Linked DNA regions of Arabidopsis thaliana. The protein of the gene in region 1 interacts with the protein of each later gene in a biochemical or structural test. Each region holds a gene or a part of one and is shown in the gene's direction. Other genes may lie near its edges.

What was found. The genes of interacting proteins can lie anywhere in the genome.
Region 2: the proteins of AT4G35540 (region 1) and TBP2 form a complex in vitro, tested with the Arabidopsis thaliana proteins (one study listed by BioGRID).

Annotation. Positions count from the first base shown.
Region 1 is NC_003075.7:16,871,936-16,876,131, forward strand, and holds AT4G35540 (POLLEN-EXPRESSED TRANSCRIPTION FACTOR 2), read left to right. Parts: upstream 1-1,899; 5' UTR 1,900-2,003; coding exon 2,004-3,587; 3' UTR 3,588-3,663; downstream 3,664-4,196. Other genes in the region: AT4G35530 (phosphatidylinositolglycan-like protein), read right to left, coding at 1-106, 251-389, 593-647, 746-830, 1,154-1,345; WOX13 (WUSCHEL related homeobox 13), read right to left, coding at 3,879-3,964, 4,088-4,196. UniProt on the Arabidopsis thaliana protein: Plant-specific TFIIB-related protein that plays important roles in pollen germination and embryogenesis, possibly by regulating gene expression through interaction with TBP2 and the subunits of RNA polymerases. Binds double-stranded DNA in vitro.
Region 2 is NC_003070.9:20,724,940-20,730,005, reverse strand, and holds TBP2 (TATA binding protein 2), read left to right. Parts: upstream 1-1,914; 5' UTR 1,915-2,178; intron 2,179-2,519; 5' UTR 2,520-2,522; coding exon 2,523-2,599; intron 2,600-2,694; coding exon 2,695-2,782; intron 2,783-2,893; coding exon 2,894-2,965; intron 2,966-3,051; coding exon 3,052-3,102; intron 3,103-3,227; coding exon 3,228-3,272; intron 3,273-3,416; coding exon 3,417-3,509; intron 3,510-3,600; coding exon 3,601-3,702; coding exon of another isoform or gene 3,703-3,732; exon of another isoform or gene 3,733-3,781; coding exon 3,782-3,856; 3' UTR 3,857-3,862; exon of another isoform or gene 3,863-3,950; 3' UTR 3,951-4,500; downstream 4,501-5,066. Other genes in the region: AT1G55530 (RING/U-box superfamily protein), read left to right, coding at 1-534; BCDH BETA1 (branched-chain alpha-keto acid decarboxylase E1 beta subunit), read right to left, coding at 4,501-4,536, 4,619-4,705, 4,794-4,871, 4,963-5,058. UniProt on the Arabidopsis thaliana protein: General transcription factor (GTF) that functions at the core of the DNA-binding multiprotein factor TFIID.

The DNA of each region.
Region 1 (4,196 bases):
CATCATGTTCTTCTTCAGCTATCGTTTCACTTTGGTGGTCTGTACCGATAGCAGCACACAATGCTTTCCAAATGGGAACCAACATCTTCAATGGAGGACGCAGTTCCTGTCCAAAGAGGAAATTGAACTCAAAATCAATTGCTATAAGTAATATTCCCGAATTGAATAATTGGTAACTCTAGATTGTTTCTCAAAGTTGTCAGCAGAAGTTTTTCTCTCACAATGTAATGAAACAAACTGGTGCCATTACCTTAAACACCAATGTAAGTTGTTCTTCACCACGAAGAAATAAAGAGAGACTCCAGTAACACGTAATGGGAGTGACACATTCGACCAACACAGGCTTCAAAATCTTGTCAATAGGGATAAACCTGGAGACAGTTTTTCCACTGCAAAGCAGAAGCATGCACAAAAAAGTAGGTACTTGTATGATTGGTAAAACTTAAAAGCATAGATCATAATGGTTCATGATAATTACAACAAATTCAACCATTACCACCTATCTTAGAGACCACTAATACGGAGTAGTTCAAAGCATTAAGCCATCATGGAGTGCAGACAACAGAATACTAACTAAATGGATAAAGCATACCTTAAATATTGAGTTTCAAGTTGGATCCCGAAGGTTGGCAAGATTATCACAGATTCTGAAGAAATCAAAGAAAAGCTAGAATTAGTTAAAACGTGAAGCTGATATCATTTGGTAAGCCTGTAAAGCGTGTATCAGGATGAACCAGGATCTCACCTTTCTTGACGAACTTGCGACTATGTAGCATAACCAAGAAACCACTTAAAAGGCAGCCCCAAGAAAGAGTTCTAGCTGGATTGTCCTGTTTCATGTGAATTATCCCTTTCAACTTAAGTGAAGAAGAAACAAATGGAACAACAACAAAACAAGCTTGTAAAGTAACACAAAAAAAGAAAAGTGCTTTTATACAAACCTTGTCATGTATTAACATAATGCTCACAACAGAATGAAAATATCAAACTATACTCCATCACCAATCCTAAGAAACAAAATGGTATGCCTTTCTCATGATATGTACTAGCAACACTTGTTCTAAGCAATGCATCAGAATCACTCAAATGTCAAGCAGATTCACATCAAAATAACAAACGGCAACAACCAAATTTTCTCTAAGAGCATAATTACCTTTCCAAGCAAAAAGTACATAGAACTCGCCAGAAACACAAGGAAGAAACCAAGCCCCCAACGACGGGCATAACCAGTTCCGCTGCTTCCGTTGATAATCACATGGTGAATATCAATGGCTTCTCTAGTTGACTTACTTCCACTTTCGTGTATGTAAGTGTATCTCTTATTCGAAACAGACAAGCTCACCATTTCAAAGCTAGTTTAGTTGAAAAACAGTCAAATGTATCACCGTCGTTTTACTCCCAACTCATATACGAACCTGCCCAAGGTTAGCTTTCTCAATACCCAAGTAACAATTTTCAAACTTTGAGTCTCAGTCAAATCGGATAGCAACAAAACTTCTCTGCGGCTTTCCGTCGAACACCATGCGTGCGTTATAATAACCCCTCTTGAAATCTCATAAATCTCTCTAACTATCTCCACACAACTTCCTCGAAAACACAGTAGCAATCTATCAAAAAGGACGAAGCAAGGATTCACCCAACGAACGAAAGCCACAATTCTTCGAATTGATCAAATCTGAAACCGGCTTCTCTTACCGGTAAAGAGATAAAAGACGGCACTATGGTGGAGGAGACAACAAAAAGCCAAAAGAGAGAAAATAATACAAACTGTGTGGCGTCCTAAATAAAACACCCTGGCGTTTTTGTTTTATTCATATTAACATCATGCCGTTTTCATCTCGACAATATAAAAACCTAGCTTATTTTTAAGGAAAGGTCAAATCTTAATTAGTTTTGATTTCTCTCTCCAGTACTTCTCGATTCGCCGGCGATCCGAATCTCATTCTTCTGCTTGTCGGAAAAAAAAACCCGTAATTTAAAGTGTGAAGCTTTCGGTTTGAATCATGCGTTGCAAGAGATGCAATGGAAGCAACTTTGAACGCGACGAAGACACGGGGAATTCGTATTGCGGTGGATGTGGGACATTACGAGAGTATGATAATTATGAGGCACAACTTGGCGGCATAAGAGGACCTCAAGGTACATATATACGAGTAGGCACCATTGGTAGAGGCTCTGTTCTTGATTATAAAGACAAGAAGATCTATGAAGCCAACAATTTAATTGAGGAGACAACAGAAAGATTGAATCTTGGTAATAAAACTGAAGTGATTAAGAGTATGATTAGTAAGCTTACTGATGGGGAATTTGGACAAGGTGAGTGGTTCCCTATTTTGATTGGAGCTTGTTGTTATGCTGTGGTAAGAGAAGAAGGGAAAGGTGTTTTGTCTATGGAAGAGGTTGCTTATGAAGTTGGATGTGATTTGCATCAGTTAGGGCCTATGATTAAGCGTGTTGTGGATCATCTAGATTTGGAATTGCGAGAGTTTGATCTTGTGGGTTTGTTTACCAAGACGGTTACTAATTCACCGAGATTGACTGATGTTGATAGGGATAAGAAGGAGAAGATAATAAAGCAAGGGACTTTCCTGATGAATTGTGCGTTGAAATGGTTTTTGTCGACGGGGAGGAGACCAATGCCTTTGGTTGTGGCTGTTTTGGCGTTTGTTGTTCAAGTGAATGGTGTGAAGGTAAAGATTGATGATTTGGCGAAAGATGCTAGTGTTTCGTTGACTACTTGTAAAACGCGGTATAAAGAGTTATCTGAGAAGCTTGTGAAGGTTGCTGAAGAGGTGGGTTTGCCTTGGGCGAAAGATGTTACTGTGAAGAATGTTTTGAAACATTCAGGAACTTTGTTTGCTTTAATGGAAGCCAAGTCCATGAAAAAGAGAAAACAAGGGACTGGGAAAGAATTAGTTAGAACTGATGGATTTTGTGTGGAGGATTTAGTGATGGACTGCCTAAGCAAAGAATCTATGTATTGTTATGATGATGATGCTCGTCAAGATACTATGTCTCGGTATTTTGATGTAGAAGGTGAACGTCAGCTTAGTTTATGTAACTATGATGATAATATATCGGAGAATCAGTTGTCTACAAAGTATAATGAATTTGAGGATCGAGTTTGTGGTGGGACTCTTGCGAAAAGAAGTCAGGGAAGTAGTCAGAGTATGTGGCAAAGGAGATCTGTTTTTGGAATGGTGTCAACTGAAAATTGGTGGAAAGGGAAATCGGAATTGAGTAAAAGGCTTTTGCTCAAAGACTTGTTGGAGAAAGATGTAGGGCTTGAAGCTTTGCCTCCTTCTTACATAAAGGGTTGCGTTGCAGTTGAAAGACGAAGAGAAAAGATTAAGGCAGCTAAGTTGCGGATTAATGCAATACAACATCCTTCTGACAATGTTAGTGAAGGTGCGTTGTCTTTGGAGCTTGAACATAGCAAGAAGAAAAGGAAGAAAGGATCTGAAATTGATTGGGAGGATTTGGTTATACAGACTCTGGTCTTACACAATGTGAATGAGGAAGAAATAGAGAAAGGCCATTACAAAACTTTGTTAGACTTGCATGTTTTCAACTCTGGAGAGGTTTGAATTGAAATGTTTTTCTCTTGGAATTTTTTTATTTCTTACAGTATAATTCATTTAAGGATGTAAAAATCGTTCTGAATGCAGAAATTATCAAAGCAAGCATCACAAGACGATTCAACAATCCATGTAAATGTTTCTCTGAAAATGATTAATAAGATAAACTACTTGTTTCTTTAATAAGCCCTGAAAGAAACAATTTAAGAAAAACAAAAGTCTAATACTGCTTATGACTGACTACCAAATCCATTTCATTGATCTCTCTGATAATTAGAAGTTTCCTCAGCTTGTATTCAATCAGCCTGACATGCCATAATCTTCAACATGATCATAAAGGTTGTAACTTTCCGCCAGTCCCATCTTTCCAACAAGATGCTCATCCCCTACAAACACAAATCACAAGAAATTATCTGAGACAGACACAACTTACTTGACTATTTCTTCAAAGCCAATGTCTCTGTTTTTTTCAGTTACGTGTGAACTAAAAAGGTATCTTTGTTACTTACTTGGGTTTGATAGAACATCTAGCAAGTGAAGGTCTGAGCTAATCTCAGGGCTCTGAAAGCAAAGATCTTCAGGCCTAGGAGCAGTAGTTGTTGCTGTTGTTGTCCCTAA
Region 2 (5,066 bases), on another chromosome or scaffold:
TTAGGTGACTATTTCATTGGTCCTGGATTTGAAATGTTGCTTCAACGTCTAGCTGAGAATGATCCCAACAGATATGGAACACCTCCTGCTAAAAAAGAAGCTGTCGAGGCTTTGGCTACTGTGAAAATCGAAGAGACTCTGCAATGTTCGGTTTGTTTAGATGATTTTGAGATTGGAACTGAGGCAAAGCTGATGCCCTGTACGCACAAGTTTCATAGTGACTGCTTGTTACCATGGCTTGAGCTTCACAGTTCATGCCCGGTTTGCAGATATCAGTTACCTGCAGATGAAGCCAAGACTGATTCAGTAACAACAACGAGCGATAACAATGGAAGCAGTAGTGCTTCTGCTACAACCAGCCATGGAGCTGAGAACAGCGATGGAAACCGGCGCCAAGAAGAAGAAGAAGAAGAAGAAGAGGAGGAGGAGGAGGAGAACGAGAACAATGACGGAAGCGGATTCTCGATCCCGTGGCCGTTTAGCACCTTGTTCTCCTCGTCGCAAGATAGCAATGCACCAACGGATTCTAGTTAAGACATGTTCCCTGAGCAACATAAGCTTTTTGGTGTGATCATGAAATCTCGGTTCTACCTAAATCTGATCTTTTGTCTGTACATAAGTTTCTCAGATTTGGTTGAATGCTACATCTTTGGAAAACAAATATCTTTCAGTTTGTGTTTTTTTAATTGTTTTTGAGCAAATCTTTTGCCGGATTCTGTAAGTCGCTTGTGTGTTTTTTGTTGTCAACCAAAGCCACTTTTGCAACTTAGTTTGTTAAATTAATGCCTTAATGGTAAAATAACAAGATTGGTGGCTGTAGTACGAATTGTGTTGGTAATAAATTATAAATTTAAACATAAAAAGTAATTTAACATTCATCACCTTTGTTGTATGAAATGGAATTGTATAATATTGTATGCCTAATTACTTAGACCGACTCGTTTAATATGTCGTCATCCAAAACAAAATATGATGTCTTTTACTAAACTTAATGAAGTGATGCTTTTTCCTTGTGTTAATCCATGATTGCATTACCATGTAATCTTTTGTTTACGCGTAAACATTAATTAGAATTTATAAAAGCTAGAGTTCACATGTGTAAAATGCGACCAAAGTTACCAACTTTATGCGCTATTAACGAACCTTTTGACATTAACGAACTTAACTTTGATATAGTATATATACTAATATATTAACGTTTCACCAAATCTCCTTGTATATATATAAGTATTGTAGTATCAACTTATTACATTATCTCTCAGATTAGTCATAATCCAAAAGAAGAAGTAATGAATCGTCAGGTTTTATCCCTAATCACTTTGATTATTCTCTTGGTCTCCGCGTACAACACGACTATGGGCCGAACTCTGCCGAGTAAGTGACCGTCTTTGATCATACAAATACAATCACGCATAAACAAAACTCATATTCAGTTCTTAATCTCTTTTTTTATTATTATTATAAATTAAGGGGAAGGAAATGGAGCACAACAATTTGATAATCTAAAAGCTGGTGTCAGACGAAGTGAATCGGCACGTACTCGTCAGAAAGGACCCGGACACTGATGAGTGATGATCTCTAACAAGTTTTAGTTGGCACCTTCATGCAATAATTGATAATCTACTGCTTTGTAATAAGTCCGTCGTTGTGGCGATTCATAGTCTCTACTCGATTCATATTTGTGAACGTGTCTTGAGTTATAGTCTTACATATAGATCCAACAAAAAAACGTATGCTAACACATTCTGTAATAGAACACGTGGCAGACAAAGAGTGGACGGTTCCCTAAAATTCCAGTAAAGACCGTAACATTAAAATCTAATAAGCTGAATTCCCATAATTACCCTCATCCGACAAAGAGAGGCAAGGGTAGTTTAGGAAAGTATATAGAGGTAATAACGTGTCCTTAAGCTCCACAGATCCAAAGCGCAGATCACAAATCTCATCCCCAGAGAGAGAACCCAGAGAGCGATATTGAAAATCAAAACTCTCTCCTTTATATATAATCCCAATTTACAAATCTCTTTCCCTCTCTAAAAATTTCTTATCTTTGTATAAAAAGCCTTCTCCTTTTTCAAATCATTCACCTTCCTTTCGCCTTTTCGGGGGAATTTCTTCCAATCTGTTGGGTTTACGAAACCCTAGATTTCGAAATTCCGGATTGCTAACTAGCGAAAGGTCTGATTTTGTTTCGTACCCTTTGTTCCTAATGGATTCAATTCCACGGATTTTATCTGAATTGAGTTTCTTCGTAGTTGCTTGTTACGAATTGGATCTCATGTTCTGAAGTTGTGTGTTTCATAGCTTTTCGTTGTTTGATTGTGAAACAATGTTTCTAGATTTCAATTATCAAAACTGGTTTTTAGATAACCAGATTTGGTCAATGAAATTGTAAAGCTTGAAAACAATTTTGTTTCGTGGATGCTTGTTGGTTTGGATCGACATGAGTTTCTGTTTTGCCCTATTTAAGACGAGATTTATAGCTGATGTGTGTGTGTTTACGTTGATTCTTATGTTAGAGAATGGCTGATCAAGGAACGGAAGGGAGCCAGCCAGTTGACCTTACTAAACATCCTTCAGGGATTGTTCCTACTCTTCAGTGAGTTCTCTCTTTTGTGTCTCTGTTTTAAGATTCTGAGTTTGTGCTTTTGTGAATCACAAGATCTTACCTTTTTCTTTTTTGGTTTGTTTCAGAAATATTGTCTCAACAGTGAACTTAGACTGCAAGCTTGATCTTAAAGCCATAGCTTTGCAAGCTAGGAATGCTGAATATAACCCCAAGGTTTTGCTTTCTTTGTGATATTCGTGTTTTAGTAATCGATCATTTTGTTTGGTCTCCACCACTTTGGTTTGTATTTTCGGATTTGGTTTTAATCTGTGTTTTATGTTCCAGCGTTTCGCTGCTGTAATCATGAGGATCAGAGAGCCAAAGACCACAGCGTTAATTTTTGCTTCTGGGAAAATGGTATGTTTTCCTTTGTCACTTTTTCTCTTATGGCCTAATCTTCCATGTCCTTGTTTTGACGTGGCATCTATGCTGTCCAATATTAGGTGTGTACCGGAGCTAAAAGTGAACATCTTTCAAAGCTTGCTGCAAGAAAGGTAAACTAGCTCATCTCAATACTGTCTGATGTTCTTCTTCTAGCATCACTGTAGTTAGAAACTTGTTACAGCTCTAGTAGGTATTTGTTCTCTGTTATATTAAAGAATTCCTTTTTGTTGTTCAGTATGCTCGGATTGTTCAAAAGCTTGGCTTTCCTGCAAAGTTCAAGGTACTCATATGTCTCTCTCTGGTCCTGATCCAGCACACACTGTGTTATTCATTTTTATCTCAATCAACAATTCGTGTGTATTTTTATCGGAAGGAAAAATTACGTATAAAGTCTAGTAATAAAATTGCTGATTACATTTTGCAGGATTTTAAGATACAGAACATTGTAGGCTCATGTGATGTCAAATTCCCCATTAGGCTTGAAGGTCTTGCATACTCTCATAGTGCTTTCTCAAGTGTAAGTGATCTCAAGCATTGTGATCATATATACTTGTAACATGGGTGTTAATCGGTCTGATGATTCATACCTCTCTCATCATTGATGCCAGTACGAGCCTGAGCTATTTCCAGGATTGATATATAGGATGAAACTTCCAAAGATTGTACTGCTTATTTTTGTGTCAGGAAAGATTGTTATAACTGGAGCCAAGGTAATAATTGAACTTCTCTCAAATGATTAAAATTGTTTCCATGAAAATGCTTCTGTCATCTTATGAAATCCCGAATCAGATGAGAGAAGAGACTTATACCGCATTTGAGAATATCTACCCAGTTCTTAGAGAATTCAGGAAGGTCCAGCAATAATAGTATGTAAGTTCAACTTTCTTTATCTCCATTTACATTTTATACCCCTTAATCAATCAACAGTTTGATTATGACTATTTCGATTCGAAAGCAGAGCCTACCATATTGAAGGCAAAAACCATGTTCACGTTTGGATTGCCATGAACTAGAGATCTCGGGTGTTGGCAGGCGCTTGGTGGGGTTATATTCCTTGGACAAGAACTTGAAATGATTCAGATTCAAAACCAGAAATTGTAAATAGAGAATGGAGATGCCAATAAATCTCTTTTCTTTTTGTTCTAAAAATGTCTTCCAAGTAATCTTGTTTCATGTTCTGTTTGTTTCAGTGAACAATACCCAATCATTAAAGAGTTACTTAGTTCTTTGCTAACTGTTCTGTAATAAGACACCAAGTCTGTTTGCCCTTTAATATACTCTTTCAAGCAATTTGCCGCTCTGGTTTGTCAAATGTTTGGATCATAAGCTTTCATCTTTCAGTAGATAATAATCTTCGTACACATTAAGTGAGATAGTCCTATTATAACATGTTTTCGTTATCTTGAAATTCATTAAAGTTAATCGGTAGTGTTACATTAGACGAATTGATAACAAAGACATGCGATTACATTAGTCCTAGTGTAAACAGTAAACTACAGATAGTACGGCTAGTAATTCACAGTCGATTTGATTGCATCCAATATCTGCATCAAGCAAGAACACATGATATGTTAGAAACTGCGTTTTGGGTCGGAATAGAGGAATGATAAGAGAAGAGGAACTTGCCTTGTTCTTGGTGGGCATGTAGAATGGTTCAAACACAAGAGGAAATGGAGTATCCAGACCACAAACTCTGCTTACTGGAGCTTCTAACTGCATTTTAAATGACAGTTAAGAAACGGAGAACCAATAAAGAGTAGTCACTTGTAACGGTGATGATTTGAGCTTTCTTTTTACTAACCTTCAAAAAGCAACGTTCCAGAATTGTTGCAGAGATCTCTGCTCCAAAACCTCCTGTTACAGGAGCTTCATGGCTTATCTGCAACCCCAAGCACAAGCAAAAGCAATCTATAAGATCGACCAGACAAATCAAAATCCGAAGTTGTCAATCAAGATTGCTTAAATCTTACAAGAAGTCTGCCAGTCTTTTTAACTGAAGCCTCAACGGTTTCTTTGTCCCAAGGAAGCAGTGTCTTGAGATCTATCAGTTCACATGATATTCCTTCCTGCATCA